Ovis aries: one gene and its partners. The protein of the gene in region 1 purifies or fractionates together with the protein of each later gene. This does not show direct contact. Links are inferred from orthologs where the notes say so. Each region holds a gene or a part of one and is shown in the gene's direction. Other genes may lie near its edges.

What was found.
Region 2: the proteins of IGF2BP3 (region 1) and HNRNPU purify together in Homo sapiens (affinity purification with mass spectrometry; 3 studies listed by BioGRID and IntAct, with this or other methods). This does not show direct contact. The link is inferred for Ovis aries from reciprocal best matches to the Homo sapiens genes IGF2BP3 and HNRNPU.
Region 3: the proteins of IGF2BP3 (region 1) and DDX5 fractionate together in Homo sapiens (co-fractionation; 3 studies listed by BioGRID, with this or other methods). This does not show direct contact. The link is inferred for Ovis aries from reciprocal best matches to the Homo sapiens genes IGF2BP3 and DDX5.
Region 4: the proteins of IGF2BP3 (region 1) and ILF2 purify together in Homo sapiens (affinity purification with mass spectrometry; 3 studies listed by BioGRID and IntAct, counting the BioPlex papers as one, with this or other methods). This does not show direct contact. The link is inferred for Ovis aries from reciprocal best matches to the Homo sapiens genes IGF2BP3 and ILF2.
Region 5: the proteins of IGF2BP3 (region 1) and HNRNPA2B1 purify together in Homo sapiens (affinity purification with mass spectrometry; 4 studies listed by BioGRID and IntAct, with this or other methods). This does not show direct contact. The link is inferred for Ovis aries from reciprocal best matches to the Homo sapiens genes IGF2BP3 and HNRNPA2B1.
Region 6: the proteins of IGF2BP3 (region 1) and TRIM25 purify together in Homo sapiens (affinity purification with western blotting; 3 studies listed by BioGRID, with this or other methods). This does not show direct contact. The link is inferred for Ovis aries from reciprocal best matches to the Homo sapiens genes IGF2BP3 and TRIM25.
Region 7: the proteins of IGF2BP3 (region 1) and G3BP2 purify together in Homo sapiens (affinity purification with mass spectrometry; 3 studies listed by BioGRID and IntAct, with this or other methods). This does not show direct contact. The link is inferred for Ovis aries from reciprocal best matches to the Homo sapiens genes IGF2BP3 and G3BP2.

The regions. Positions count from the first base shown.
Region 1 is NC_056057.1:32,872,107-32,875,606, reverse strand, and holds part of IGF2BP3 (insulin-like growth factor 2 mRNA-binding protein 3), read left to right. Parts: intron 1-3,152; coding exon 3,153-3,434; intron 3,435-3,500. UniProt on the Homo sapiens protein: RNA-binding factor that may recruit target transcripts to cytoplasmic protein-RNA complexes (mRNPs). This transcript 'caging' into mRNPs allows mRNA transport and transient storage.
Region 2 is NC_056065.1:31,694,709-31,698,208, forward strand, and holds part of HNRNPU (heterogeneous nuclear ribonucleoprotein U), read left to right. Parts: coding exon 1-12; intron 13-103; coding exon 104-272; intron 273-523; coding exon 524-778; intron 779-1,038; coding exon 1,039-1,223; intron 1,224-1,552; coding exon 1,553-1,624; intron 1,625-2,094; coding exon 2,095-2,148; 3' UTR 2,149-3,500. UniProt on the Homo sapiens protein: DNA- and RNA-binding protein involved in several cellular processes such as nuclear chromatin organization, telomere-length regulation, transcription, mRNA alternative splicing and stability, Xist-mediated transcriptional silencing and mitotic cell progression.
Region 3 is NC_056064.1:48,405,207-48,409,132, reverse strand, and holds the end of DDX5 (probable ATP-dependent RNA helicase DDX5), read left to right. Parts: coding exon 1-137; intron 138-459; coding exon 460-570; intron 571-825; coding exon 826-887; intron 888-979; coding exon 980-1,039; intron 1,040-2,296; coding exon 2,297-2,521; intron 2,522-2,719; coding exon 2,720-3,123; 3' UTR 3,124-3,426; downstream 3,427-3,926. UniProt on the Homo sapiens protein: Involved in the alternative regulation of pre-mRNA splicing; its RNA helicase activity is necessary for increasing tau exon 10 inclusion and occurs in a RBM4-dependent manner. Binds to the tau pre-mRNA in the stem-loop region downstream of exon 10.
Region 4 is NC_056054.1:104,112,174-104,116,137, reverse strand, and holds the start of ILF2 (interleukin enhancer-binding factor 2), read left to right. Parts: upstream 1-1,164; 5' UTR 1,165-1,215; coding exon 1,216-1,220; intron 1,221-1,912; coding exon 1,913-1,972; intron 1,973-2,179; coding exon 2,180-2,222; intron 2,223-2,790; coding exon 2,791-2,895; intron 2,896-3,268; coding exon 3,269-3,346; intron 3,347-3,654; coding exon 3,655-3,757; intron 3,758-3,964. UniProt on the Homo sapiens protein: Chromatin-interacting protein that forms a stable heterodimer with interleukin enhancer-binding factor 3/ILF3 and plays a role in several biological processes including transcription, innate immunity or cell growth.
Region 5 is NC_056057.1:71,303,418-71,307,591, forward strand, and holds the start of HNRNPA2B1 (heterogeneous nuclear ribonucleoproteins A2/B1), read left to right. Parts: upstream 1-1,374; 5' UTR 1,375-1,542; coding exon 1,543-1,548; intron 1,549-4,174. UniProt on the Homo sapiens protein: Heterogeneous nuclear ribonucleoprotein (hnRNP) that associates with nascent pre-mRNAs, packaging them into hnRNP particles.
Region 6 is NC_056064.1:7,425,239-7,428,738, reverse strand, and holds part of TRIM25 (E3 ubiquitin/ISG15 ligase TRIM25), read left to right. Parts: intron 1-2,465; coding exon 2,466-2,699; intron 2,700-3,500.
Region 7 is NC_056059.1:91,313,467-91,317,479, reverse strand, and holds the start of G3BP2 (ras GTPase-activating protein-binding protein 2), read left to right. Parts: upstream 1-1,213; 5' UTR 1,214-1,384; intron 1,385-1,483; 5' UTR 1,484-1,603; exon of another isoform or gene 1,604-4,013. Other genes in the region: USO1 (general vesicular transport factor p115), read right to left, coding at 780-845.

The DNA.
Region 1 (3,500 bases):
AGGCAAGAATACTGGAGAGGGTTGCCATTTCCTTCTCCAGGGGATCTTAATGACCCAGGGATGGAACCCACATCTCCTGCATTGCAGGCTGATTCTTTACTTTCTGAGCCACCAGGGAAGGGCTCCCCAGCCCCCAACTTCTTTTTTTAAAGTAACATTACTGACTTAATTGCACAGTCACTTACTCTCTTCTGAAGTGCTCAGTTGTAGAGTGGGGAAGGATGTTACTGTGAACTGTCCTTTTATGTACCAGGTCGAGTTGAGCCCTTCATTGCGTTGGGCTCTCCTCTTGTCTTCGAAAGAAGCTTCAGGGATAGGTTTCTCCTGGGCTTTGAAAAGCTTTATCTAATTTGTTGAAACATCTGTAATTCCAAACTTTCTGTAGTAAATGTACATCATTGATGTTAATAAAATTTCTAGCTGTTGTCTTCCTTTAGAAATAGCCAAAATACTTACGGGCCCTTAATGCACATATTCTTTAGGAAAGAAGGAGAGGGAAGAAGGTAGGAAAAATGTGTTAACTGAAGGTTCTTGTATCAGGGCATTGGTAAAACAAGTTTTTCTGTGTGTCTGCTATCACCTATGAAGTTTATGAAAAGAATGCCATCTGTAGCTACTTTTTTTAAAAAAATTGAAGTATAGTTGATTTACAATGTCTTGTTAATTTCTGCTGTACAGCAAAGTGATTCAGTTACACACACACACACACACGGGAAAAGAATGTCGTCTGATACAGAACTCGCATGGAAATATCCCAAAATATATTGTATTTGGAAAAACAACAAATCACAAGACCATGTATATCATGATCTCAGCTACACTTTAAGAAGGCACTGAACACTTAAACACCTGTGTGAACAGATGGAAAGAACTGGTCCATTTGCAGAAGTTATCACAGTTAATAGTTACTCTAGGAAGGGTCTTGGAGGTAATAGTGATAGAAATTTCTTGATACTTTGTTAGTCTGTATGACTGGGACCTTTTAAAGAGTTAATTCGTGTGCATAGACCTGTAGGACAGTGATGGAACAGGCCACTGATGTGCGAAAAGGGCAGAATTCTGAGTCCTGAGAACATTGGTGTGTCTTGTCTGGCTTTCTACATCTGCCATGCAGTTTCATGGTTTTGTTAGCCTTTTTGGTGCTGGGTCTATTCTCTTTCTCTTTGAAATGGAAAAATCTCCAGATAAAGCAGTATGTGAACCACAAATGATCACTCTGAGCAACCAGACAGAGCATTTTATGCCTGTTTTTCTCTCCTTGCCTGGGTCGAACTCAGGGCCCACTGGAATACCACCTGAGCAAAGATTCTGAGTAACCCTGGAGAAAGCGTGAGGCCTTTTTTTTTTTTTTTTTTTAAATTCTGTTGTGCACTGGGAGTGTGTATTATTAGGGTGATGTCTATATGGCAGTATCTTCTGCCAACTTTTAATGAGTTCTTCACATTTAAAATATGTAGATAAGCTAGAACACACCAATGTATCTTATAAACTTAGGAATCTTACACACTTATCTCATAAATAATAAGTTGATGCCAGACATGGGTATTTACATAGAAATGTAAACAGGCAGAATCCTTCTGGTGTGAGGAGCCTAGAGAAGGGACAGTCATTGGAAGGAGGTCCTGGCGGGGCTTCTGGGACACTGGGGTGTCCTAGCTCTGAATCTGGAGATGCATGCTCACTGTGTGAAAATTCATTGAGATGTTTGCTTAAGATTAGGTACTTTTCCATAGTTCAGTTCACTCGTTCAGTTGTGTCCAACTCTTTGCAACCCCATGGACTACAGCACACCAAGCCTCCCTGTCCATCACCAGCTCCTGAATGCCCATCGAGTTGGTGATGCCATCCAACCATCTCATCCTCTGTTGTCCCCTTCTCTTCCTGCCCCCAATCTTTCCCATCATCAAGATCTTTTCAAATGAGTCAGTTCTTCACATTAGGTGCCCAAAGTATTAGAGTTTCAGCTTCAGCATCAGTCCTTCCAATGAATACTCAGCATTGATTTCCTTTAGGATTGACTGGTTTGTTTGATCTCCTTGCAGTCCAAGGAACTCTCAAGCGTCTTCTCCAACACCACAATTCAAAAGCATCAATTCTTCGGCCCTCAGCCTTCTTTATAGTCTAACTCTCACATCCATACATGACCACTGGAAAAACCATAGTTTTGACTGGATGCACCTTTGTTGGCAGAGTAATGTCTCTACTTGTCAATACGCTATTTAGGTTGGTCATAGCTTTTCTTCCAAGGAGCAAGCAAGCATCTTTTAATTTCCGTAGTTTTCCATAACAAGCCTCTAAAATGGGAGGAAAAAAAAAAAAGTAAAAGTAAAGCTCCTCTCGAAATAGATGAATGGGTGCGTGGATGGATGGATCGGTAGGGAGAAGACAGTTTCCGTCGTTTCCTTTGGTTCACCACCACCCCTGTCTCCCTGCCTCAAATCAGATCATAAATTCCACAAGGTCATGGATTGCTTTTTTCCCTCAAGAACAGGCTCATAATAGGTATTGAGTGATTTTATAGTGGTAAGAAACATGAGTGTTAAGTTCTACTTCCTCCAGTGAGTGGCTCAGAGATTTTTGTCCTTTGATTCTGAAAGTGTTTTAAATATTTGTTCTTAAGACATTAAAGCAAGGGAGGTGTGTATTGTAACATCTTTTCTATTCTGATTTGGAAAGACTAGCCAGAGGAGAGCCCCCTCCTCCTGTTCTGTGGGGGTCCTCACAGGCTGTTACTGACTTCATGGTGAATAGCTTAGTAAACGTTGTATTTTGTTTGCTTGGGTTTTTCTGGCCACACTGTGTGTCTTCTGGGATCTTACTTACCTGCCTACCGATTGTACCCAGACCTCAGCAGTGAGAGCACCAAGTTCTAACCACTAGACCGCCAGGGAAGTCCCCATTTAGAGTTTGACAAAATGTGTTTTCACTTTACTGGTAAATGGCTCATATGTTCCCTTGGAAACCTGTCTGTTTTCCCCATGTGTCCTTCAAAGGGAATGTGGGTGGGGAGTGTTAGGTGTGTTCTGGATTTGCTATCTGTTCAGTGGCTTTATTCACGAGCTTTAGAGCTAGGGATCCTGAGTGGAAGAGGTGGTATTGCTGTTACTCAGCCTGGTTCCTCTTCCCACCCCCTGCTCCTTGTTGACTTTCAGAGCTTTAGACAAGCTGAATGGGTTCCAGCTGGAGACCTTCACGCTGAGAGTGGCCTACATCCCCGACGAGATGGCGGCCCAGCAGAGCCCCTCCCAGCAGCCCCGAGGCCGGCGTGGGTTTGGGCAGAGGGGCTCCTCAAGGCAGGGGTCTCCAGGGTCAGTGTCCAAGCAGAAGCCGTGCGACTTGCCTCTGCGCCTGCTGGTTCCCACCCAGTTCGTTGGAGCCATTATAGGAAAAGAAGGTGCCACCATTCGGAATATCACCAAACAGACCCAGTCGAAGTGAGTATTTCCTGGGGTGCGATGGGTGTTTGAATCTTCATAAGAGTATGTTGCTTGCTACTTCAT
Region 2 (3,500 bases), on another chromosome or scaffold:
ATTTTGGATCAGGTAAGCTGTAACTTTGAAGTTGAAAAAACTGATAATTGTAGAATTAATGTTTGAGGTTAAAAACTTTTTTTTTTTTCTCTTTTTCTGAAAGACAAATGTGTCTGCTGCTGCCCAGAGGAGAAAAATGTGCCTCTTTGCAGGCTTCCAACGAAAAGCTGTTGTAGTTTGCCCAAAAGATGAAGACTATAAGCAAAGAACACAGAAGAAAGCAGAAGTAGAGGGAAAAGACCTACCAGAACATGCAGTCCTCAAAATGAAAGGCATGAAGTTCTATTACCTTAAATATCCTGTGATTTGTATCTGTTAGCTTAATGTCAGTAATAACTTTCAAGAGTTAAATTAACTGTAAATGAACATATATTTAACTTGTGTTTGTAAGAAAATGTAATTACAATATGACTAGGTGTTGTGTGTTTTGTAAGAATTAACAGCTGATTGAGAGTATTGGGCTTTAGGGTTGTGAATGTGTATGTAGTGGGTTTGTAGGTTAATATGATTTTATGTTTTGCAGGAAACTTTACTCTGCCAGAAGTAGCTGAGTGCTTTGATGAAATAACCTATGTTGAACTTCAGAAGGAAGAAGCCCAGAAACTTTTGGAGCAATATAAAGAAGAAAGCAAAAAGGCTCTTCCACCGGAAAAGAAACAGAACACAGGCTCAAAGAAGAGCAATAAAAATAAGAGCGGCAAGAACCAGTTTAACAGAGGCGGTGGCCATAGAGGACGTGGCGGATTCAATATGCGCGGTGGAAATTTCAGAGGAGGAGGCAAGTTATGTTGAGTATTATTTGGTCCAAGGTTGAAACAAATGGTACACTTCCAGTTTGGGTCTATATGTTACTTAGCTGAATTTAACATAGGAAGCTTTTGATGTGCATTATCTGAGCTGTCTTAGTAAGCATGTCTAGGTTATGTTGAATGGTTAAACATTTTTCTCCTGAAATGAAGGAATGGTCCAAAAGAACCCTAAGTCTCATGTAAAGAAGGCAGCAACACACTACTAAATGAGATGTTTCTTGTTTTCTAGCTCCTGGGAATCGTGGTGGATACAACAGGAGGGGCAGTATGCCACAGAGAGGAGGTGGCGGTGGTGGCAGCGGTGGCATTGGCTATCCGTACCCTCGCGGCCCTGTCTTTCCCAGCCGCGGCGGCTACTCAAACAGAGGGAACTACAACAGAGGGGGAATGCCTAACAGAGGGAACTACAACCAGGTAACCATTTAAGATCTCTGCAGACGCTGATTCTCTATATAATTTAGTGTAAAAGGTTAAATATGATGGGCAGCCTCAGTTAAGAATACAGTGTATATGCATAATTATTTTTAGGTGCGTTAACTGCTAGTAGGAGCAAGTCAGGTGTGATGTCTCTTAGTGAATAAGTTAATCACCTGAAAGGAAACCCAGCAGAGTGCTCAGAGGTTCATGGTTGACCGCCCATCCATCCATTTCTGCAGCTGTGTCCCCTCTTTTCCCTCTGCCCCTTAGATAAACCTAGCAACTTGTGTTCTGAGTTCTTTAAAGATTTTTTTTCTTTTTTGTAGAACTTCAGAGGACGAGGAAACAATCGTGGCTACAAAAATCAATCTCAGGGCTACAACCAGTGGCAGCAGGGTGTAAGTAATTCCTTATGTGCTTTTATGTACATTTAATTGTATTTTGAATTCATAAGAATCAATCTTAAAAAAAGATCTTGTCTAGGGATCGAAGTGTTTATAAATAAGTATTACAGGGCAAGCTGTGAGCTGTATTGCAGTTGTAGCTGTATACTATCTTTTGAAGGCGAGATAGGTTGGAGTTTGCTGTAACTTAATATTTTTTAATAAAGTAATATTTAATTCATACGTTTTTTTTTTTTACTGATAGCTTTAATTGTATAAACTAACCGAAGTCGTAATGTGTTTCCTTTTGTAATGTGTATTGATAATGGGATGTTAATACTAACTAAATCTGGCTTGATAAATCAGAGGAATGACAGGTATAAATTTGTTTCCAGCAATTACTCTGAATTAGATTGTCATTTCCTAAAAGCAATTTGAGTGGCTTATTGATGTTTTTTCTTTAAAAAAAAAATTTTCTCTTACAGCAATTCTGGGGTCAGAAGCCATGGAGTCAGCATTATCACCAAGGATATTATTGAATACCCAAATAAAACGAACTGATACATATTTCTCCAAAACCTTCACAAGAAGTCGACTGTTTTCTTTAGTAGGCTAACTTTTTAAACATTCCACAAGAGGAAGTGCCTGCGGGTTCCTTTTTTAGAAGCTTTGTGGGTTGATTTTTTTTCTTTTCTTTTTTGTACATTTTTAATTGCAGTTTTAAAGTGAATCGTAAGAGAACCTCAGCATTGTGCACGATAAGAGAATGTGTCAGTATTTCAGGGTTCTACATTTTATCTGTAAAATGTGACTTTTTTTTTATCACAACAAAAGTAAAATGTTGCTTTGTACCTGGTGTCTTTTATTAAGAATTTACTCCCCCCCATTTCTCACAGAGATAACAGTCGGGAGTCATTGTCACAATATAATAGAAATGTTAGCAACCAGATTCATGTAAGGACTTAGTGGTCCTCATGAATTGCATAAGACTCTGTACTGCTCATATTACACTCCATCCTCTCTGTAGTTTGCTGAGTAGTGGAGGGGTAAGCTAAATAGTAGTTTTTGACGGTAACTGGGAAGGCTCTTTCTTTTTAAGTAACGATGGAATTGGCATATTTGGGAATGAAGATAAAATTTGGAACGAAGATAGAGAAGATGGAGTGTATGTAGAAGGGCTGTTAAAAAATGTAAAACTTGGTTGCATTATTTGTGGAGGCTCAAACTTGTGAAGGTTTAAGTACCATAATTTTTCCATTTGTTCTGCATTTTGATTCTGAAAAGAAAGCTGGCTTTGCCCATTTCTTATTAAAAAAACTTGTTGTAAATCCAGTTGTCTAATGGGATCTATATGAAGTTAGCTATGTCTGTATGCCCTTCTCCCACAAAATACTGTATAACTAGTGTGCTTGTAGTAGTTAACTCCACCATCTTTGTAAGCTAATGAAATTGTGAGTCACCCATTTATATCTTAATTTTTAATCATGTCAGTTCTTGAATGGGTATCTCCTTAGCCTGCTGATTTCTTTTTCTTTCTAAAGAAAGTGGGTGGAGAAATTAATTTAGACGTTTGTTTGCAATAAAAAGAATTCATTTTACTCTTGTTTTGGGATTCTCGCCATCAAGGTTCAAAATCCCTTTATGAAACTCCCAAGAGGAGAAAATTTAAGTGTGTGCTTTCTGGACAGCTTATTCTTTACTGTGCACTTAGAACATTTAGGTTTTAAAAACTTAAATGTATATTGACAATTGACTTAAAATTATGAAGTTGAACTCTTCCCTTCCCCTCCCCCCTGATGACTTTAAACATTTAATGAGGGGAAAAGGTACTGGCTGGGAGAAGTTAACACTCAGTTTACCATCTTTACAAAATGCTAATGGCTGTCCTCAA
Region 3 (3,926 bases), on another chromosome or scaffold:
CCAAAAGAAGTAAGACAGCTTGCTGAAGATTTCCTGAAAGACTATATTCATATAAACATTGGTGCACTGGAACTGAGTGCAAATCACAACATTCTTCAGATTGTGGATGTGTGTCATGACGTAGAAAAGGATGAAAAGTAAGTGACTAACTCTGAAGACAACTTTACAAGTTGAGTCACTGTTTCACAAGTTATCTTAAAAATGACTTTCAGTTGGGTGGAATCTAAATGCTAATTTGAAATCTGTCATGCTCAAAATTGTTTTGCTTCCTTCAGGTAATTGGCTATTACTATTTTTTATATTCTTAACAGAAAGAGTATTGTCTTGTGGTTTAAGGGTAAAGGGTAGAATGGTTAAAAGGGTTAAGCAGGTGTTCTCTTGTAGCCCTGTGAGTAAAAGTTGGTGTTTCGTTCATAACCATGAACTTCTTAAAAAATTGAGAATATTTTTTCTTTCAAGGCTTATTCGTCTAATGGAAGAGATCATGAGTGAAAAGGAGAATAAAACCATTGTTTTTGTTGAAACCAAAAGAAGATGTGATGAGCTGACTAGAAAAATGAGGAGAGATGGGTATGTGTGGTTGTCCTCCACTAAAGCAGATATTGATTAGAGCTGAGTTCAGGAGAAGGGGCAAAGTTTAATCAGGGTTGATAGTTCTGAGTTTCAAAGATGGAAATTATCGGGTAGTATACATGTATAGGAAAGACTGTATACCTTATTTCAGATGGAGTTAAAAGGGTTTGTGACCAAAAAGGTTAAAGCACATGGTTAAAATCTACAAGGTTTTAAATGCCAGTCTCTTAATGTAACTTTTCTTTAATTTAGGTGGCCTGCCATGGGTATCCATGGTGACAAGAGTCAACAGGAACGTGACTGGGTTCTAAATGGTAAGTATTTTAAGTGTGGGGTCCCACCCCCACCCCCCAAAGACTTAGAATACCATTCATATTGATGGCTATATATGTGCCTTCCTTTGCAGAATTCAAACATGGAAAGGCTCCTATTCTGATTGCTACAGATGTGGCCTCCAGAGGGCTAGGTTAGTACAAACTCGAATTCATGGCTTGGTTTCCCAGAAGATACCCATATAATTTTTTTAAAGAAAGTTTATTGCTTTCTTTAACCTCTGCATTTTTTCTAAGTTTTTTTCATATAAAGGTGCAGTCTTTGTGGCAAGGCCTAGGCATGACAATCGGAGGACTCGAGGGGGATGGAGGACTAGTGATCGGCTGGCTGCTTCCAGTCGATTAGAGAGGTGAAAAGCTGAAAGTGTGCCAGTAATCTTCAAAAGGCAGAACATACCACCTCTGCCCCGTAAACTGTTCTCTCCGGGGGAAAAAAATGGAAGTTATCCTCACAGTTCACTGCCGTGGTATTTCTTCTGTCCCATGCTTTGCATGACTGCCATGGTACAGCATTGTTTCAAACTGTTTACTGTGATCTGTGGGTCTTTGAGTTTCAGTGAGTTTGCTGAAATGTCGAAGAAATATTTCCAAACTTCAATGTTCAATGAAATTTTTGTTCAAGTTTGAAATGGAGAGAGCAGCTTTAAAAGGTACTAAAAGCCTTTTACAAATTGGTGAGTACTGGCACATAAGATCTAGAGCAGGAGCAACTTCTCACACATAGTCAGTGGGAAAAAAAAGCAGTGCTTTGAAAGTTCCTCCCTCACCTACACAGTAGTCGTCATGTCGAGACCTGCCAGAGAGAGACACATTCTCAAGTGAATCCTGGCTTCTTGGAAGCGCTTGCCTAGACGAGACACAGTGCATAAAAACAACTTTTGGGGGACAGGTATGTTTTTCTTGCAGCTGCGGTTGTAAGGTCTTGGCAAGACAAGCAGTGTGGCCAGAATTTTGAACTTCTGATGAGTGTGTAACGCAAAGGACCATGTACATTTTTGATGAAAGGTCCTCAAAATGAGAGCACACAAGGAGGTTGCTGTGAACTTTTAAGTGGCCCTACTGCGCAGAAGCATTCAGATGTCACTTGATGATCTGTAAGGGGACTTGCTAATTTGGGAATGTTAGGAAATACACACGTCCTTTTGACACGCTCCATCATTGGGTGGGTAATAAGGTATACAGATGACGTGTGCTTTTTCTTTGTTTTTTTTTCTTCCCCACTTTCAACCTCAATGGTATTCCTACAGGGAATGGATAACCATTTTAACTGTATTTTTTGCAGCCCATACCTTCTTGGGAATACAATTGTCTAACTTTTTATTTTTGGTCTGGCTGTTGTGGTGTGCAAAACCCTGTACATTGCTATTTTGCCACACTGCAACACCTTACAGATGTGGAAGATGTGAAATTTGTCATCAATTATGACTACCCTAACTCCTCAGAGGATTATATTCATCGAATTGGAAGAACTGCTCGCAGTACCAAAACAGGCACAGCATACACTTTCTTTACACCTAATAACATAAAGCAAGTGAGCGACCTTATCTCTGTGCTTCGGGAAGCTAATCAAGCAATTAATCCTAAGTTGCTTCAGTTGGTCGAAGACAGAGGTTCAGGTAAGACCAACCTTTGGTAAAGACATGTTGGTGGGTGTGGAGTCACATGATTGTTAACAAGTCTATTTGAATGGCATTGGTGGGTGAGGGCAGAAAGGAGTTGAGAAGATATTCTGAAATAGAGCTACCAGATTCTTTTCTGTGTTAGTAATGATTGGTTCCATGGAAATAACCAGTTGGCAATTTTTTTCTTGACAGGTCGATCCAGGGGTAGAGGAGGCATGAAGGATGACCGGCGGGACAGATACTCTGCGGGCAAAAGGGGTGGATTTAATACATTTAGAGACAGGGAAAATTATGACCGCGGTTACTCTAGTCTGCTTAAGAGAGATTTTGGGGCAAAAACTCAGAATGGTGTTTACAGTGCTGCAAATTACACCAATGGGAGCTTTGGAAGTAATTTCGTGTCTGCTGGTATACAGACCAGTTTTAGGACTGGTAATCCAACAGGGACTTACCAGAACGGTTATGATAGCACTCAGCAATATGGAAGTAACGTTCCAAATATGCACAATGGTATGAACCAACAGGCATATGCATATCCTGCTACTGCAGCTGCGCCTATGATTGGTTATCCGATGCCAACAGGATATTCTCAATAAGACTTTAGAAGTATATGTAAATGTCTGTTTTTCATAATTGCTCTTTATATTGTGTGTTATCAGACAAGATAGTTATTTAAGAAACATGGGAAATGCAGAAATGACTGCAGTGCAGCAGTAATTATGGTGCACTTTTTCGCTATTTAAGTTGGATATTTCTCTACATTCCTGAAACAATTTTTAGGTTTTTTTTGTACTAGAAAATGCAGGCAGTGTTTTCACAAAAGTAAATGTACAGTGATTTGAAATACAATAAATGAAGGCAATGCATGGCCTTCCAATAAAAAATATTTGAAGACTGAATTAAGTGGAAATGGTACTTTATTTTACATATATAATGTCATGTAAAACTGCTTAGATGGTCTTTTTTAGTCATAAAACTAAAATTGACTGCTCCTTTCTATAATTTCATTTTGGGAAGTGGGGAGATCAGAAGGCCCTTAAAGTGATCTATTCCTATTGCAAGGACTAAAATTCAATTGATTTAGGTTGATTAGCAGTTCTAGCTAAATTACATAAAGGCTTTCTTTTGGTGCCTCCCCAAATCAGGTGAGTCATTTAAATAGTCATTTAAATGGTGAAAGGAGATACTAAAACAGGGAACAAGTGTATAGCCCCACCCTTAACTTAGATTGCTTAGTGAGAATATGGATGACTTTGTTCCTTTTGCAAATTTGTAATTTGGGAAAAGTCTTCAAATAACTTTTCGAGAGATTATATTTGCTCCGGGCTGTACTATTAATTACTGAGGCTGAAAGACTACACCCTTCAAGATGGTTGGCCACAAGCTAAGATTGAATTCA
Region 4 (3,964 bases), on another chromosome or scaffold:
TCCAACCAGTCCATTCTAAAGGAGATCAGCCCTGGGTGTTCTTTTGGAAGGAATGATGCTAAAGCTGAAACTCCAGTACTTTGGCCACCTCATGCGAAGAGTTGACTCATTGGGAAAGACTCTGATGCTGGGAGGGATTGGGGGCAGGAGGAGAAGGGGACGACAGAGGATGAGATGGCTGGATGGTATCACCGATTCGATGGACGTGAGTCTGAGTGAACTCCGGGAGATGGTGATAGACAGGGAGGCCTGTGCTGCGATTCATGGGGTCACAAAGGGTTGGACACGACTGAGCGACTGAACTGAACTGAACTGAATATGAATTGATGTAAATGCAACCACAGTATATCCATATACTTGGCTGTGAAACTTTGCATAAAGGTGGAATCCGCCAGAGAGGTTGTAGAATGAGGAAAGGAGAGGAAACGACAAAAAATGGCAGCGGTCTGGTCCTTCTCTCCTGTCGCTTCCCTTGCCCTCCTTTTCTGAGCTCTCTTTCCAAAGGCTGTCTCAGTTTCCCTTCTAGTCCCTCACCATCAGTACTTTCCCTGAGTCAATCAACATACATACTCATATCCGTTTCTTCTGCTTCAGCCTCTGTGAACCACATCCAGACATGTAGTGTTCACAGTCACCCAAAATCCCTTCCTACATGATTTCGGTTGCCTTTTCCATTTCACTCGCTGATGGCAAAAACAGCTTTTAAAGGCTGCATATTTTGAGGGAGAGAAAAGTAGGATTACGGTAGTTACATTTACTGAAGAAATTTAAAACAGAAAAACTGTCCCAGGAGAAAAAAATTAAAAAAGCACCGCTAGCAGAGGATGGTTTCGATCCATCGACCTCTGGGTTATGGGCCCAGCACGCTTCCGCTGCGCCACTCTGCTGTTGCCGTTTTCACCCCCCAAGAATCATAGAAAGGTCTCTAGATGCCAGCCACACTAATTTCTTTACACAGCGCTCTCTAGTGTCTGCAAAAGGGCGTTAACGTCTAACCTGTTCTTATTGGCTAGTTACTGACAGAGCAGGCCCTTTTCATTGGCTCAATAAACCGGTTTGCCAAAGCAAACCAATAGGCACAAGCAGCGGAGTACGGCGGGAGCCAATCGCGCTGGAGTTTGTTGGGACACGCCGGCAAGCTGCCTCTCCAGTTGTCGGCTCCCCAGAGGAAAGGGGCGGTTGGTGTGGCCTCCATTGTTCGGGATCTAGGACGCCATGAGGTAAGGGTTGTGGGGTGCCCTGGAGAGGTTTCAGGTATTCGACCGAAAACTTTAGGAAGTTGGTCCGAAAGGAGTCGGCGGACTGGAAAGGGCCATGTACCTGGGGGTTGCACGGAAACCTGAGAACTCCGGCTCTAAGAGAAGGGGAGGTCGGGGGCAGTGGAGGCGGGGAAACTTGGCCGGGGATGGGGGGTGGGGCCCAGGAGTCGAGAGGCGGTTCCGACTGTTCGCTCTCTGGGGGGTTCAGATGAGAGGGTGTCCTCAGGTTCCAGGAGGAGCACCCCCACACCTCCTATTTAGACTGAGATGGCTGGAACGTGTCTCATTCATCCTCAATGCCAGTTGCTTGACATACACGATACGCCTGATAGATGCTTTTACTACATGAACGAATGAATAAGCAGTCACATTAGTCTGCGAAGTATTAGGGTTGGCGGGACCCGGCGATTATGGGATGTTTCTTGTAGGGCTCTCTTTAATGTGGTTTGATGTGAATCAGTTATCCAGTCATGGGGAGTGAGGCTGGACATTTGGAAGGTGTAGAAGTGTAAGTGAGAATGGGATCCTTTGGCTTCCAAAGGGAAGTGCAGAGCGATAGAGGTAGGCTAACCTGAAATCATACGGCCGGTACCGAGGAGATTGCTTCAATGAGATGAAAAGAAAGTTAAAATATGTTAATAATGCATTTCTAGGGGTGACAGAGGCCGCGGTCGTGGCGGGCGCTTTGGTTCCAGAGGAGGCCCAGGAGGAGGGTGAGTGCCAGTCCTTAGCATCTGTGCCCGTTGGTTTCCCTTTCAGTCATCTAAATAGGAGTGGAGTATCTTACCTGCCTTGTTGAGATCCAGCTGTAGTTTAGAAGTATTCTTCTCATGCTCTCTTGATAAATGAGTTTGGCCCCATTATGTGAAGTCAGTTTGATTTATGTGGTGAGTAATCTGGATTGTTTTTCCGCTTTTTAGGTTCAGGCCCTTTGTGCCACATATTCCATTTGACTTCTATTTGGTGAGTACGGTGTCTCTTCCCTGGTGGCTAAGAGGTTAAAGTGTCTGCCTCTAATGCGGGAGACCTAGGTTCGATCCCTGGGTGGGGAAGATCCCCTGGAGAAGGAAATGGCAACCCACTCCAGTATTCTTGCCTGGAGAATCCCATGGACGGAGGAGCCTGGTGGGCTACAGTCCATGGGGTCGCAAAGAGTCAGACACGACTGAGCGACTTAACTAACTTAACTTTGGCCACTATTCAATTGTTGTTTCTTGGAACCTGGTGTCTCCCTGTTAATGAAGTCATGTGGTAGTTGGAGTAGAAAAAGGGAAGTTTTGAGTCATCTGTGTTGCTTTACATACAAAAAAGTATAACCTGGGTGGGGAAGATAGGTCCTTCATTACAATCGACAGTAACATGATTATAATCTTTGTTCTGAACAGTTAATTGTATCACTGCCTTGTCTGTTAATATTAGGGTCACAAGAGTATAAGTGTTGTAGAATTATCTCTTTTTTTGTGTTGTGGCAACAGAAAAATCTGTTGCATATTATTTTTGGCAAGTAGTATATAGTATATTTCTTGTTTAGTGTGAAATGGCTTTTCCCCGGGTCAAGCCAGCACCTGATGAAACTTCCTTCAGTGAGGCCTTGCTGAAGAGGAATCAGGACCTTGCTCCTAATTCTGCTGAACAGGTATATTCTGTTGGTTTTCTTCCTGAGATTTCATGAAGGAAGCTAGAGAAGTAAATAGCTACTTGGTGAGATTACTGTTGTCAGAGCCTGAACTCCACAGGTTTAATCATTCTTATTTTTCATTGTGTGTAAAGGGAGAGCATCAAGTGAATGTATAAACAGATTACATGTGCGTTCATATTATTATTGGGGAATCTGTCGTTGGGATCAAAGTTTTCTCTTCTGGCATATTCAAGGCTGGGAGGGTCTGGGTGCTTTCAGAATCCGGTATAGGTGTTGATTCCTATTGAAGGAATTGGGGAAATAGTCAAACTTGATGAAAAGTTGCTTGGTATTTCACCTGAGGGTATTTTTGTTTCCTGCTATTTTTCAGGCCTCTATCCTTTCCCTGGTGACAAAAATAAACAATGTGATTGACAATTTGATTGTGGCTCCAGGGACATTTGAAGTGGTGAGTTTTTGAAGATCTAGTCCTAGGAAAGGGAAGTCATGGAAGTGTGAAAGTTTCCTTGGTTCCTGTCGCTTGATTCTTCAGATGCTTATTTAAAGCCACTCTTGGAATGGGAAAGTACAGTAGAATTCCTTTGTCGTGCTGGTCTTAGGGACCAGATTCATCATTGCTATCAGCTAGCTGTAATGAATCAGGCTTTTCATTGCTCATTTTGGAATATGATTTGAACTCTGCTACTTCCAAATCTGGGTAATAAGCTTCTCACTTGTAAGTTTTGTTTTTTCTTTCTTAAATCCCTTTTCCAACAGCAAATTGAAGAAGTCCGACAAGTCGGATCATATAAAAAGGGAACGATGACTACAGGACACAACGTGGCTGACCTGGTAGTGATCCTAAAGATTTTGCCAACATGTAAGTGTGCCTCTCTTTGGCCACAGCAGCAGAACATAGCAGTTGGATTTGAGGCATAGGGATTTAAATGGTGTGCTGTATGTGAAAGAATGTATGACCAGTTACTGCAGGACGGACTTTGCTCCCCAGGGGACATTCAGCAATGTCTGGAGATGTTTGAGGCTAACGTCTTCTGGTAGAGGCCAAGGTTGCTGCTAAGCATCCTGC
Region 5 (4,174 bases), about 38 Mb from region 1:
AAATGCGCTTTGTCTAGAAATAAGGCGGCTGGCGCCACAGCTTTCAACCTTGAGAAGAGTCTCATCCCCTAAACCAACTACAGACGCCGGCCCGAAGCCAGGCCCGCCACGGGGTCTCTGTTCGCTTCTCCTTTCCTTCCCGCCAGGTCCTGACTCAGGGTCCGGCGAGGAAGATAGGAAGCGGGGAAATGCGGGTCTCTGGGGCTTATGCGGTATCTTAAGCAACACCACCGAGTGAAAGCTAGAGAAAAAAAAAAAGACACCGACTTCACCGCCTCTGAGCTGCTCCGGGTCCCGGGTCTGCGACGTCTCCGGCCCTGCGCGCCTCAAGCTCCAGTCACATCCGAGAGGGAGGGGGGCTGGGGAGCAGCGCTGCGCGCGGGGCCGCCGCTGGGGGGAGGGGAAGGTGGCACCGCCCACGCCAGGCAGCCGCCAGGGGCGGGGTGGGCGCGCGCCCCGGGGGGTGGGGCCGCGCGCCGCGCAGTGCCCGCCGGGAGCCCGAGCCGGAGCCCGGGCCCGACGGAGGGGGGAAAGCAGGGGGCGGTGACAGCGGCTCTTAGAGTTCGCGGCGTGGCGTCTGGTGGTCGCCCGAAGGGAGGGCGAGGAGGGAGCTGAGGGCCGCGACCTAAGCCTACTCAGCGGAGGTGTTTCCTGCTTTGCTGCCGCCTTAGCGACTGGCGCCAAAACAGGACTCCGCCCACTTCCTCGCCCCTGGGGTTGGGTGCCTCCAAACGTTGGGGGTGGGTGGGAGGAATCGGGAACTAAGAACGAGCACCACTTTCGACTACCTGAAATGTGGACCCCAAAAACATTGGCCAGGGTTAGGGTGGTGGATCGTTAAGTGTAATTTGTTGACTAGAAGTCGCTTCGGGTGTTTCCGGAAGGGGTCAGTCGGTTCTCCGCGCAGAGAGGGGAGGATAGGAGAAGGTGGGGGAGGGAAAACACAGTGGAAGAGACTACAAAGATTTTTTTAAAACTGGGGACCGAGGAAAAGCCATCGAAGCGTAGCTGTAAGGACCACTTCCCGGGATGAGGGGGCTGGACTTTTGGGTTGAGGATTAAGCTCCTCCCAACAGCGTTAATTTCAAACTGCGCGACCGTTTCTCACCTGCCCTGCGGGGGCAGTCCCCAATTCCGAGAGACAGAAATACGCAGGACTCGAGCCTTCCGCAATTTACAGAGCCCTTTTACGCAACTGACGTCCAGCATCAGTGCTGGCCTTAAAGGGGGAGGGGCACGTACTTGGCGCTAGGAGGTCGTAGAGCGTTCCCGCCATTGGCGGCGGTTAGGACGTTTACGCAACGGCCTGACGTAGGGAAGACGCGTTAGTCGGGGGGAAGGTTCTAGAAAAGCGGCGGCAGCGGCTCTAGCGGCAGTAGCAGCAGCGCCGGGTCTGGAGTGGAGGTGCTCCAGCGGTGTTGTTTCTCGAGCAGCGGCAGTTCTCACTACAGCGCCAGGACGAGTCCGGTTCGTGTTCGTCCGCGGAGATCTCTCTCATCTCGCTCGGCTGCGGGAAATCGGGCTGAAGCGACTGAGTCCGCGATGGAGGTAACGGGTTTGAAATCAATGAGTTGTTGGAAAGGGCATGGCGAGGCCGTTGGCGCCTTACTGGAAGTCGGCCATCCGCCTCCGTGGGAGAGCGGCAGCGAAATTGGGCCACTTCATAAGCGGTTGGTCTCAGGATATTTTTGGAGAGGGGTCGTTAGCAGAGGCCTAATTGTACAGCACCTTCCCCACCCTCAGCCTCACGGCGCCATTTCCCTTTGCTGGGGGTGGGGGATGGGGAGCTTCCACATGGCGGACGCAGCCCCACTTTACTGAAAGTGGGGCGCGGAGGCAGGAATTCCTACTCCGTTTTTAAAGAAGGGTGGTTTGGGGGTCCTGGCGTCCCCGCGTTGGAGCGTTTCGGCGGGTTTTGGGTCCTAGCGAACCGGGCTGCGGAGCTTCCCCTCCCCCCTCCCGGGAACCGGATTTGGCGGCCGCCATTTTCATTTCTCTCCTTCCTCGCAGCGATTTCTTTTTAATTCTCTAGATTTGACTAGCTTGACTTTTTCAGTGAGGACTAGAAGTGGGTAACTATTCATTTCTTTTTTCGGACTGTTTTCGTGCTGTTTCGAGGTGGATTCCGAGTGTGTAGGGAGCTTGGAGCTTTAAAGTCCTGCGCACCTCATTAGAGGCTCGCTCCTTTCCCCTCGATGAAATGGCGCCATTGCGTTCAGGAGCCGCACCGAAGGGCGGGGGGAGGGGCGGCGTTCTCCTGGGCGGTTTCGCTCGGCTTAGGAGGTAAAACCCTCTAGGGTGTTGGGCCCGGTTTCACGCGTGCCACGGTATAAAGACCTCATATTTTGTTTTTCAGTCCTTGTTTGAGTAACAGTTTTACCTGCGTTTCCGGTGATTGAAAAGGCAGTTGAATCGTAGAAAACATAAAATGAAAATTTTAGAGAAGATTATCGATTTTGCGGGAGGCCGTGGGGAAGGTGGTCTTTGGGGGGGGCGGTGTTCGGTTCAGAATCCTTTATTTTCCTGACGGATTCTTTTTTAATCGTATAATTTATTTGTATTTTAAGTAGTATTTTTACCGGGGAATTTAGTCTTTACTGGGTAAGGTTACGGGTGTTTTTTTAGTGATAAACTTGAAATTATGAGTTTAGTTGTACTCTGATTAAAACATGGCTCGGTCCCTCAATGCGTGTTCTGCTGTATACAAAACTTTTATTAGGCTGAGCCACTGTGTTTTTGAACTTTGTCACTTGCTTTTCTCGTTTATGTTTGCAATCATGGTTGATGATTACATTGATAAGCATAAGGTCTCAAGCGAAGGGGGTCTGCCTGGGTATTTTCATTGACCCTAAGCACGCTTATAAAATAACTTTGTTTGTAATCGATAGTGGACAGCGGGTAAGTTTGGAAAATGAGGTAAGTAATGAGTTTTTGCCTTTTGTTAGTGATTTGTAATGTTGTAGATGTATTTTAGTCTCTTTATTGGGGTTTTAAAAGGCCAGTTAACTGACAAGTGTTTGGAATAAATAAAATATGCTTAAGTGAAGTGTACAAATACCAGTATGTCAAGTTACCGTTTTAATAGATTGTTCTTTTAAGTGTTTGATAAGCTAGTTTGAGAATTTGTCTTTTCAAAAATTTCAGAATCTTAAAAGTAACTGTACAGGCAAAGAAATCTCTGCATTATTACTGTTTTCTAACATGTTGGGAGAATATCATGCATGGAGAGAAACTTGATGGAACTATGGGTTGAGTGTTGTAGTTCTACTTAATTTACCTACGTGCACTTGGTGGCTAACTTTCGTTTCTGAATGTTATTTAACCTAGTCAACTGAAAACCAAATAAAATGATCCAAGCTTCCTTAACTGATAGCCCCAAATACAGAGCTATTAATGTAGCTTATATGCGTGCTGGTTTGTAAGGATTGAGATTTCAGCTCAGGCTCTCTTCTCACATGAAAGTTGTTTTATGCTGTGTAATTTGCCAAAAGACCACTGAGTTCTACATGGTGAAGTGTAAGTCGTAGTGATATTTTGTAACTAGAGAGGATAGTCACAGTGGTCATTTAAATATTTTTATGGTTTTTGAAAATTGAAGTTACAGTGTCTTTTACTGTATTTGTCTTTTGGTTCAGTAATAGTGGATTGGGCCATCAACAAAACCAGCTATGTTAAAATATGTGCTTTAGAGACCGTCAATCATAAAAGTCATTTTATACTTTCGTCAGAAAAGATAAATTTTGAGGCTATTTTGCCACATATATTGAACGTTTAAGATTTTCTCTGGAGAGTTGGTATATGAGGAAAGAAAGTCAATACTAAGTTTTTCAGAGTTTTGAAAATTGAGTTACATTATAATCACCACCAGAGGGAGCAATGAAGGGAAACTCATTTCTTAAATGCTAAATCCAGAAACAAATGGGAACTGGGTTATAAAGCGAAAGTTGTTATATTTTAAAAATTTGTATTTGAATATGTAAAAGTGAACTCTGTTCTAAGTTATAGGATCGAATGCAGATGTTGATAAGACTCTTAACTTTACAGTCACCAGGGACTAGATTTGCTCTTCTTTCTTCAGAAAGATTTTTTTTAAAACTAAGTGATGCTATATTTGTTTAAACTCATTTAATGTCAAGTAAGTTTATATCAAGCATAATGATTTTGAAACGTGTAG
Region 6 (3,500 bases), on another chromosome or scaffold:
GTCCCTGCCCCCATCTTCACATTGCCTCCTCCCTCTGTGTCTGCTCTTTGTCGCTAATAAGGACACTTGCTAGTGGATTTAGAACCACCTGGGTAAGCCCGGATCATCTTGGCTCCAGGTTTCTACCTTGGTTACATCCGCAGAGACTCCTTTTCTCAGTAAAGTCGCGTTTCCAGGTTCTGGAACACAGATGTAGCTTTTGGGGAGCCCCCATTAAGCCCATTACAGAAAGTGTAGGAAAAAAGACTGGGAGGAAATATAGTCAGGGAATAGTAGTGCAGGTGTTGGAGTGGTAGAATTATAGAGGTTTTTCCCTTCCAGGTTCGTAATTTTTATAAGGTTACAGTGCTTTTACGTTGAGAGGAGGTTTGATTTTTAAGCATCTTTTCTGGAGGGGCAGCATCTGGTTTCACTGCCACAGCTGTGGTTAGATTAGATGAGATCTAGATTAGAATCCTAGCCTGTGATACTGTGGTCCTGTTGGCAAATCTCTGAGCCTTAGTTTTTCCATCTTCTTCCAGAGCCTCTTTCCGAAGGTGAGCTCGAGGCTTAAGTGAAAGATTGCACGTGAGAATGCCTGTATTGATTGGCGGGCAGGCTAAGTTCTTGGAGCAGAGATACCCCTCGGAATCAGAGGCTTCAGTAAGATCGCTATGTATGTTCCTCTCTGCGACGGCTCAGGGCTGGACCCGAGCCAGGCGGGCTGTGGGATGGTCTGCGGCCTGTGACCCATCAGGCTCCAGGCCCTCGTCTTCTTCCTGCCCTTCCCCCGTCTCTAGCTGCCACTGGGTCACCGTTAGATCTTTGCTGTAGCCTGTGAGGAGGGGTGACAAGGGGGGAGAGTGTTGCGCTTGTTACTTGCGTTTGCGTTGTGTAGGCTGCAGCGTAGTCACCTGACCAGCTGCAGGGGACGCTGGGAGATGTAGTCTGTGGCTGGGCAGCCGTGTGCCCATCTGAACCCAGGGGTGTTTTCTTACTGACGGGGGAGAAGGAGGATGAGTGTTCGGGGACATTGATGGTCACATTGAAAGGGGCAGGGTCAGGTACTGGTTTAAGAAATGAATCGAATTCTCAGGAATTCCTGGTGGCCCAGTGATGAAGACTCTGAGCTTCCGCTGGAGGAGGCTTGGGTTCAAATCCCTGGTGGGAAAACTAAGATCCTGAATGTCGCATGGTGTGGCCAAAAAAAAAAAAATTGAATTCCAATCTCCCTGGCCCTCTTGTGTGTGTTTCTCTTTGTCAAGTTTGATTCTGAGCTGATGAGGTGACCCAACCTGTAAAGGGAAACTGCAGCTTCTAGAGCAGTGCTGTCCAGTAGAAATACAAAGTGGACCTTATATATAACTTTAATCTGAATAGTGCATGAGACTAGGTCTGTTAAGGTATTTTATTTAACTCAGTATATCCAAAGTGTTATTTTGGTCAATGTAAGGTATTAATGAGATGTTCCATACTCTTCTTAGGTCACTCTGTCTCACACCTTAGCTTGGACTGGCCGTAGTTCAAGGGCCTGCAGCTGCGTGTAGTGCGGTTCTAGAGGGAATTGTCTAGGGCAGCTTCATACCCTTGAAAAAAAAGTTACTCATGAACTGCTTTCTAGCTTAAGAAATAAAACATTGCCAAGGAGAATATAGCCCTGGCTTTGCTTTCCCCTTTCTGTATCCCTCGTCCTCTCTTCCGGGAGCCACGGAGAGTCCATGGGGACACAGAGAGTTGGCCACGACTGAAGTGGCTGAGCACGCACGCGCCGTTCTCTCTGTTTCTAAGTCTTGGGTACGGTGCATCTCACTGCGTGTCTTCTATAAGTTGTTTTTCCCTTATCATAGTTTAATATTCCATCCCAGGGAATAATTGTCAGTCTTCTAGTGACTGACATTCAGGTTGTTTCCTTGATTTTGCTCTTCAAACAGTGCTGCTTAGAGCATTCTTGGGTGTCTCTGGAGCAGTCTTTTTCTAGAGTACATTCTTTGGACTCAGTTGCTGGGTCCGAAGGTGGTGGTGGTGATGGTGGTGTTCAGTTGCTCAGTCATGTCCAGCTCTTTGCAGCTCCATGGACTGCAGCACGCCAGGTCTCCCTGTCCTTCACTATCTCCCAGAGTCTGCTTAAACTCACGTCCGCTGAGTTGATGATGCCGTCCAAGCCTCTGTCATCCCCTTTTCCTCCTGCCCTCAATCTTCTCCAGCATGAGGTTCTTTTCAAGTGAGTCAGCTCTTCACATCAGGAGGCCAGAGTATTTGAGCTTCAGCAACAGCCCTTCCAATGAATATTCAGGGTTGATTTCCTCTGGGATTTAGGTCATAAGGTATGAACACCTTGAAATTCACTGATCTTGCCAGATTGCTCTCCAAAGTGGTTGCACCCGTCTGAGTTTCCGTGAAGCCCAGGTGAGAGCTTGCGGTGCTCCGCGTGTCGGGCCCAGCCCTTCGGCCCGTCTAACGGGTGCCCTCTTGTCCTGGCCTCTCAGGAGGCTGCACATAGGAAGATGGACCAGCTGAGACAGGAATACCTGGAGATGAAGGCTCTCATCGATGCCTCCGAGGCCAGCGCCACAAGGAAGATAAAGGAAGAGGAGAAGAGGGTCACCAGCAAGTTCGACAGCATTTACCAGATCATCCTCAAGAAGAGGAGCGAGATCCAGACCCTAAAGGAGGAGGTTGAGCTCGCCCTGACTAAGGGGGACGAGTTTGAGTTTCTGGAGGTGAGTCATGATGAGCGTGTTGCTGAATCCTCTTTCTGCCTCGCATTAGAGTGTGGAGCGGGACTCTCAAGGGGTTGGGGCGGTAAGGGGTTTTGGAAGCATCCCTGAGACACGCAGGCTGTATTAGTTTTCTACGTTTTGTGACCACTTACCGCAAACTACGTGGCTTAGAAGAAAAGCTGTCCGTTACCTCACACTCTGTGTGGCTTAGGCTGTGGTCTCACCAGGCTGTATGTTCCTTTTGGAGCTCAGGGTTGTCTTCTAAGCTGACATGCTTTTTTTTTTTTTTTTTTCACTGTGTAATTTTTCTGTATTAAAAGAGATTTGTTTCTCTGAAATGATAGATCTACTATTTGAATTCATAGCTGGGATGAGATTCAGTCAAAACAGTCAGCAGTGTGTATCCATTCAGCCTCTTTCCCACTTTTTATTCTTCTGGATTGCCCCAGCGTTCTTCTTCCTGTTATTCACATCTATCAGAATCTTAGTGATAACGTTGCTGCTGCTGCTGCTGCTGAGTCGCTTCAGTCGTGTCCGACTCTGTGCGACCCCATAGACAGCAGCCCACCAGGCTCCCCCGTCCCTGGGATTCTCCAGGCAAGAGTACTGGAGTGGGTGCCATTGCCTTCTCCGGTGACAATGTTACTGATTCCTTTTCAACTTAAGCTCTCTTCAGCCGGTGTCTGGTCAAATCACTTGGAATAAGCAAGGTCATTGTTGATATCTGATCCTGATTGAACTCCATCTCTGTGTACAGCTTAAACTCTTCATTCGGAGGGCTTCATACTCCCAGAAAACCAC
Region 7 (4,013 bases), on another chromosome or scaffold:
ACCTAAAATCGAACCAACTTATCAAAAATTGTGTTGAGTAGCTAACAATTTTTTTAAAGTGACGCTGCAAATCCTGTTTACACGAGTTCAGACTTCTGAATGGGGAGAATGGAAGGGACGCGTGTTCCCAAAGCATTTTGAGCGCCAAAGATCCCCACAACGACCAAGCGAGTATTTCCCAAATAGTGGGCGAGGCTGAAAAACGGGGTCCGAACTAATGACACCTGAAAGAACGACCTGCCTCTAGTTGAATGGGCAGGGGCAGGTGGCTTTGTGACCCAAACTATCGTATTATTCTTAGCCACTTGCTCTGGTCAACTGCTGGGTTTAAACCTTCCTGCAGTTTTCCTCAAAGCCCCATTCCAGACTGCGAGGGAGGTGGACTTTAGGTTAATCACCGCCAGTGAAGACACTGGCGAAAAGGGAGGGACAGGCCCGCGGCCCCGAAGGGCGTGGGAGGCAGGTCAGGCCACTTCTGCCCAGGATGGATGCCTTTCCCGGAGGTACCACCGCGGACCACCACCAAGCGGCCTGTGGAGCTTCGGGGCGCGGCTGCTGTCAGCAGGGCCAAGCCGCCGCGCTGGGGGTTGTGCTGCGGGTGTGAGGGAATAACTTGCGGGTTTCAGGAGAGGAAAAGAGGCACGGGGGCAAAAGGGGAGGCGGCATGTAGACTCCCGGCCCACGGTGACGCGCAGGGGGGTGACCTCCGGGCCCCTATGTCCTCCGTCCCGGTTTCTGCCCGGACCCTTCCCAAGTCCCGGACCCGCCGCTCCTCTCACCGTCTCGGCTTCTGTGTGCTGGGGTCCGGCACTCTGACCCCCCATAACCCCGCGGAGGAAATTCATCTTGCCGCTCAGCCACGGGCTCTACCGGCCTTTTCGGGAAAGAAGAGATAACTTCCCCTGTCCTCCGCAGGGCCCGACCCCCAAGCCTGCACTTTGCACTCCCCGGCCGCCACCGCCACAGCCTACTCGGCGGCCGCTCCAGCCCCCTAAGCCCGGAAACAGCGTCCGCCACCAGTTGAGATGCGCATGCGCGGCGACGTGGCATTACGTGGCGGCTCGAAGGGCGAAGGCAAACGAGCAAAGTAGGCGAGAGGCGGCTGGTAGCCCAGGTCCTCCTAAGCCCCGCCCACTGCGAAGGCTCCGCCCTCCCCCGTAAGAACACGCCTCCCACTCCAGCCTTCGGCTGGTGCCTCCTGCTGGCCCCAACCACCCACGTGGTGCGAGCCCGGCCCTGCCGGCAGGAGACCTTACGGATTGTGTACGCATTTTGGCTTGCAAGGTGTTTAATTGTTGCCGGGCGGGACTTACTGCAAGCTGTCAAGTCTGGGGTTGTGTTTTGTTGAGTAGAAAGAGAAATTGTCCTTCGGCCGACGTGACAGGTAAGGGGTCCCGGCCTCTGGGAGGGTTCATTTGGTTTTGCGGTATAGCAGTACGAGCTTTGTGGCCTTCTCATCCCCACAAATTGCATTTCTTTACAGGGCTTTGTTTGGTGAAAAAAAGGGTACTTGAGCCCCCTCATTCCATTGCCACGGGAGGGCGCATTTCTCAGCTTTTGCTCTTCCAACCTGCTAAAAGGAATTCCTGGATCTAAACACCAGGTACACCGCTATTTTCTAGGGGTGTGAGGAGGAAACCAATCCAACCCTGCGTTTGGCTTACTAGATTAAATACATTGATCTGCAGTGTCATTTTGACAGCAGGGAACATAATGTTTTGTTATTAATGCTAAACTCTTAGATTTTCAGCGTGTGTCTGGGGGGTTAGCATGAAAAATATTCGTTTTTCAAATCGGTAAGCCTTGTTTCTTTTGAAATGAGAGTGCCAGATACACATGCTTATGGAGTAGTCTTGTCAATGCCTTGAACGTGAAAGCGCAGAGTCTAGTTATAACTGATTCATACACCACTCCCCTTGGATGCCCCACAGGTCTCAGACTCCCCAACCTTCCTTTAAAAAAAAAAAAATCAGTATGCTTCGTTCATGTGCCCTGCTGCACTCATCAGTATCACTAGCCAAATAATTGCCTAAGCTGGAAGGAGGAGGCTGGGAGGAATCTGAAACTCTGGAATTCACCCCCGCATGTCCAGTAGTCAAATCCTGTCATGCCTATTTATAGACTATTTTTCAAATAGGTCTCTGCTCTCCATGCTCTCTGCCTCTGACATGGTTTATGTTCCCATCATTCTTCACCAAGATTACGGGCAATAGCTTCCTAACTGGTTTGTCAGCATTTAAGCCTTGGGTTTCTTCCAGTCACCCAAGTCCACTCTTGGGTGAGCCTGACAATGACAAAACATCTGTCCATGTTAGTCCTCGTCTGAAAATCCTCCGGTTGTCGCCCATTCACCTCAAAATAAAATCCAAACTCCTTAGCTTGATGTATAGGCCTGTTATGTTCTGGCTCTTGCCTGTTTTTTCAGCTCCTGCCTCCCACACATACTCTGGATATAGGCCTGGATAAGTCCTTCCCCTCCCTCCACTTCATCAAGGAAACTCCTGCTAGTTCCTTAAAATTTAACTTTGGTATCTTCAGAAAGCTCTCCCTGAAATCTAGATAACATGTGTATATGCTATTCCTTTGCAGTTGTTAATATGTGGGAAGCTCTCAATAAATGCCTATTGAGCCAGACTGTTAATGGCAGAATGTGTTATTCATTTTTATATCTCTGTGGCTTAGCATTGTCACATAAAAGGTGATATTGATAGATACATGAAGAAAGCATTAAAGGGTATATGAATATAATGATGAGGAGGAAGGTCCTTTTTTTCATCTGTAGGGTGGGTTTGCAGATAACACATATCACAAAGGCTATGGTGCAGTTTCCTTTGCTAGTGCCAAGGTTTTAAGCTTCTGTGAGTTGGAGAACAGTGGGGATCATACTGCCAAAAATATTGTACACTAAGCATTGTCCTCTGTTTTAAAACTGGACACTTGACAGTTTGCTTTAGATATTTTCCACCAGGGCATTTCCTTGCAGCCTAAAAAAAGTAACCAATAAATGCTCAGCATTTTTATTACCAAGTAATATCTGCAAAGAACTTCATCTAGTCCTTAAGTGTCACCCCTCCCTGAGCCTCTCCTCACCTCTAGGGGTAAAGCTCTGAGATGGAGTGGGGCTCATGGATGTTTATTACATGTATTATTTGGTAATAAAAAGCAGCGCCTTCACATTTTAGCAGAATCATTTTAAGGCACCAACCTTTCCAAAATGCCCTGCTTTGTTTTAAATTTCCGTGAGTATAGCAGACGCTCAAGAACCATTTCTTAAATAAAGGAAAAGAAAACATGAAAAAATTATGACTGCCCGACTTATGCCGTTATACTTCTCACTTTTATAAATCTAAATATTCAATGGACGAATGCGAATCATTAAAATACATATAATTCATGGCTCAACTGGTAAAGAATCTGCCTGCAATGCAGGAGACCTGGGTTTGATCCCTGGATTGGAAAGATCCCCTGGAGAAGGGAAAGACTACCCACTCCAGTGCTCTGGCATGGAGAATTCCATGGACTGTATAGTCTGTGGTGTTGCAAAGAGTCAGACACGACTGAGTGACTTTCAGTTTTCAAAATGTTAACTTGGGTAAATAAAAGTGATTTTTCTGAGAACAGAACAACTAACAAAACTCATTGATTTGAAATTCATTTTTAGATTTGCTTGCTTCCAATCCCCTAGCTCAGTGGCTCTCTTCAGTGGCCCACTTTCCTCATCCTTTTTTATTTTCTATAGCAAACTCAACAATAACAATGAAATATCATTGCACAAGATTGGTTGAGGGTGGTGGTAATACAGTGGACTTTTGTCCATACCTGCTTTGGAGGATGAGTGGAGGTGATAATTTGTGTCTAAAATGTATCAGTCACATACAGGTTTTTAAAGACTAGTTACTGGAAAAGTCAGGGTTCAAAAATATTGTTGATAAAATTTTGCATTAAGTTTTATTCATTACCCAAACAACACACAGCAAAATAAATTGATAATGATGAAGCAGTAATTGACATTC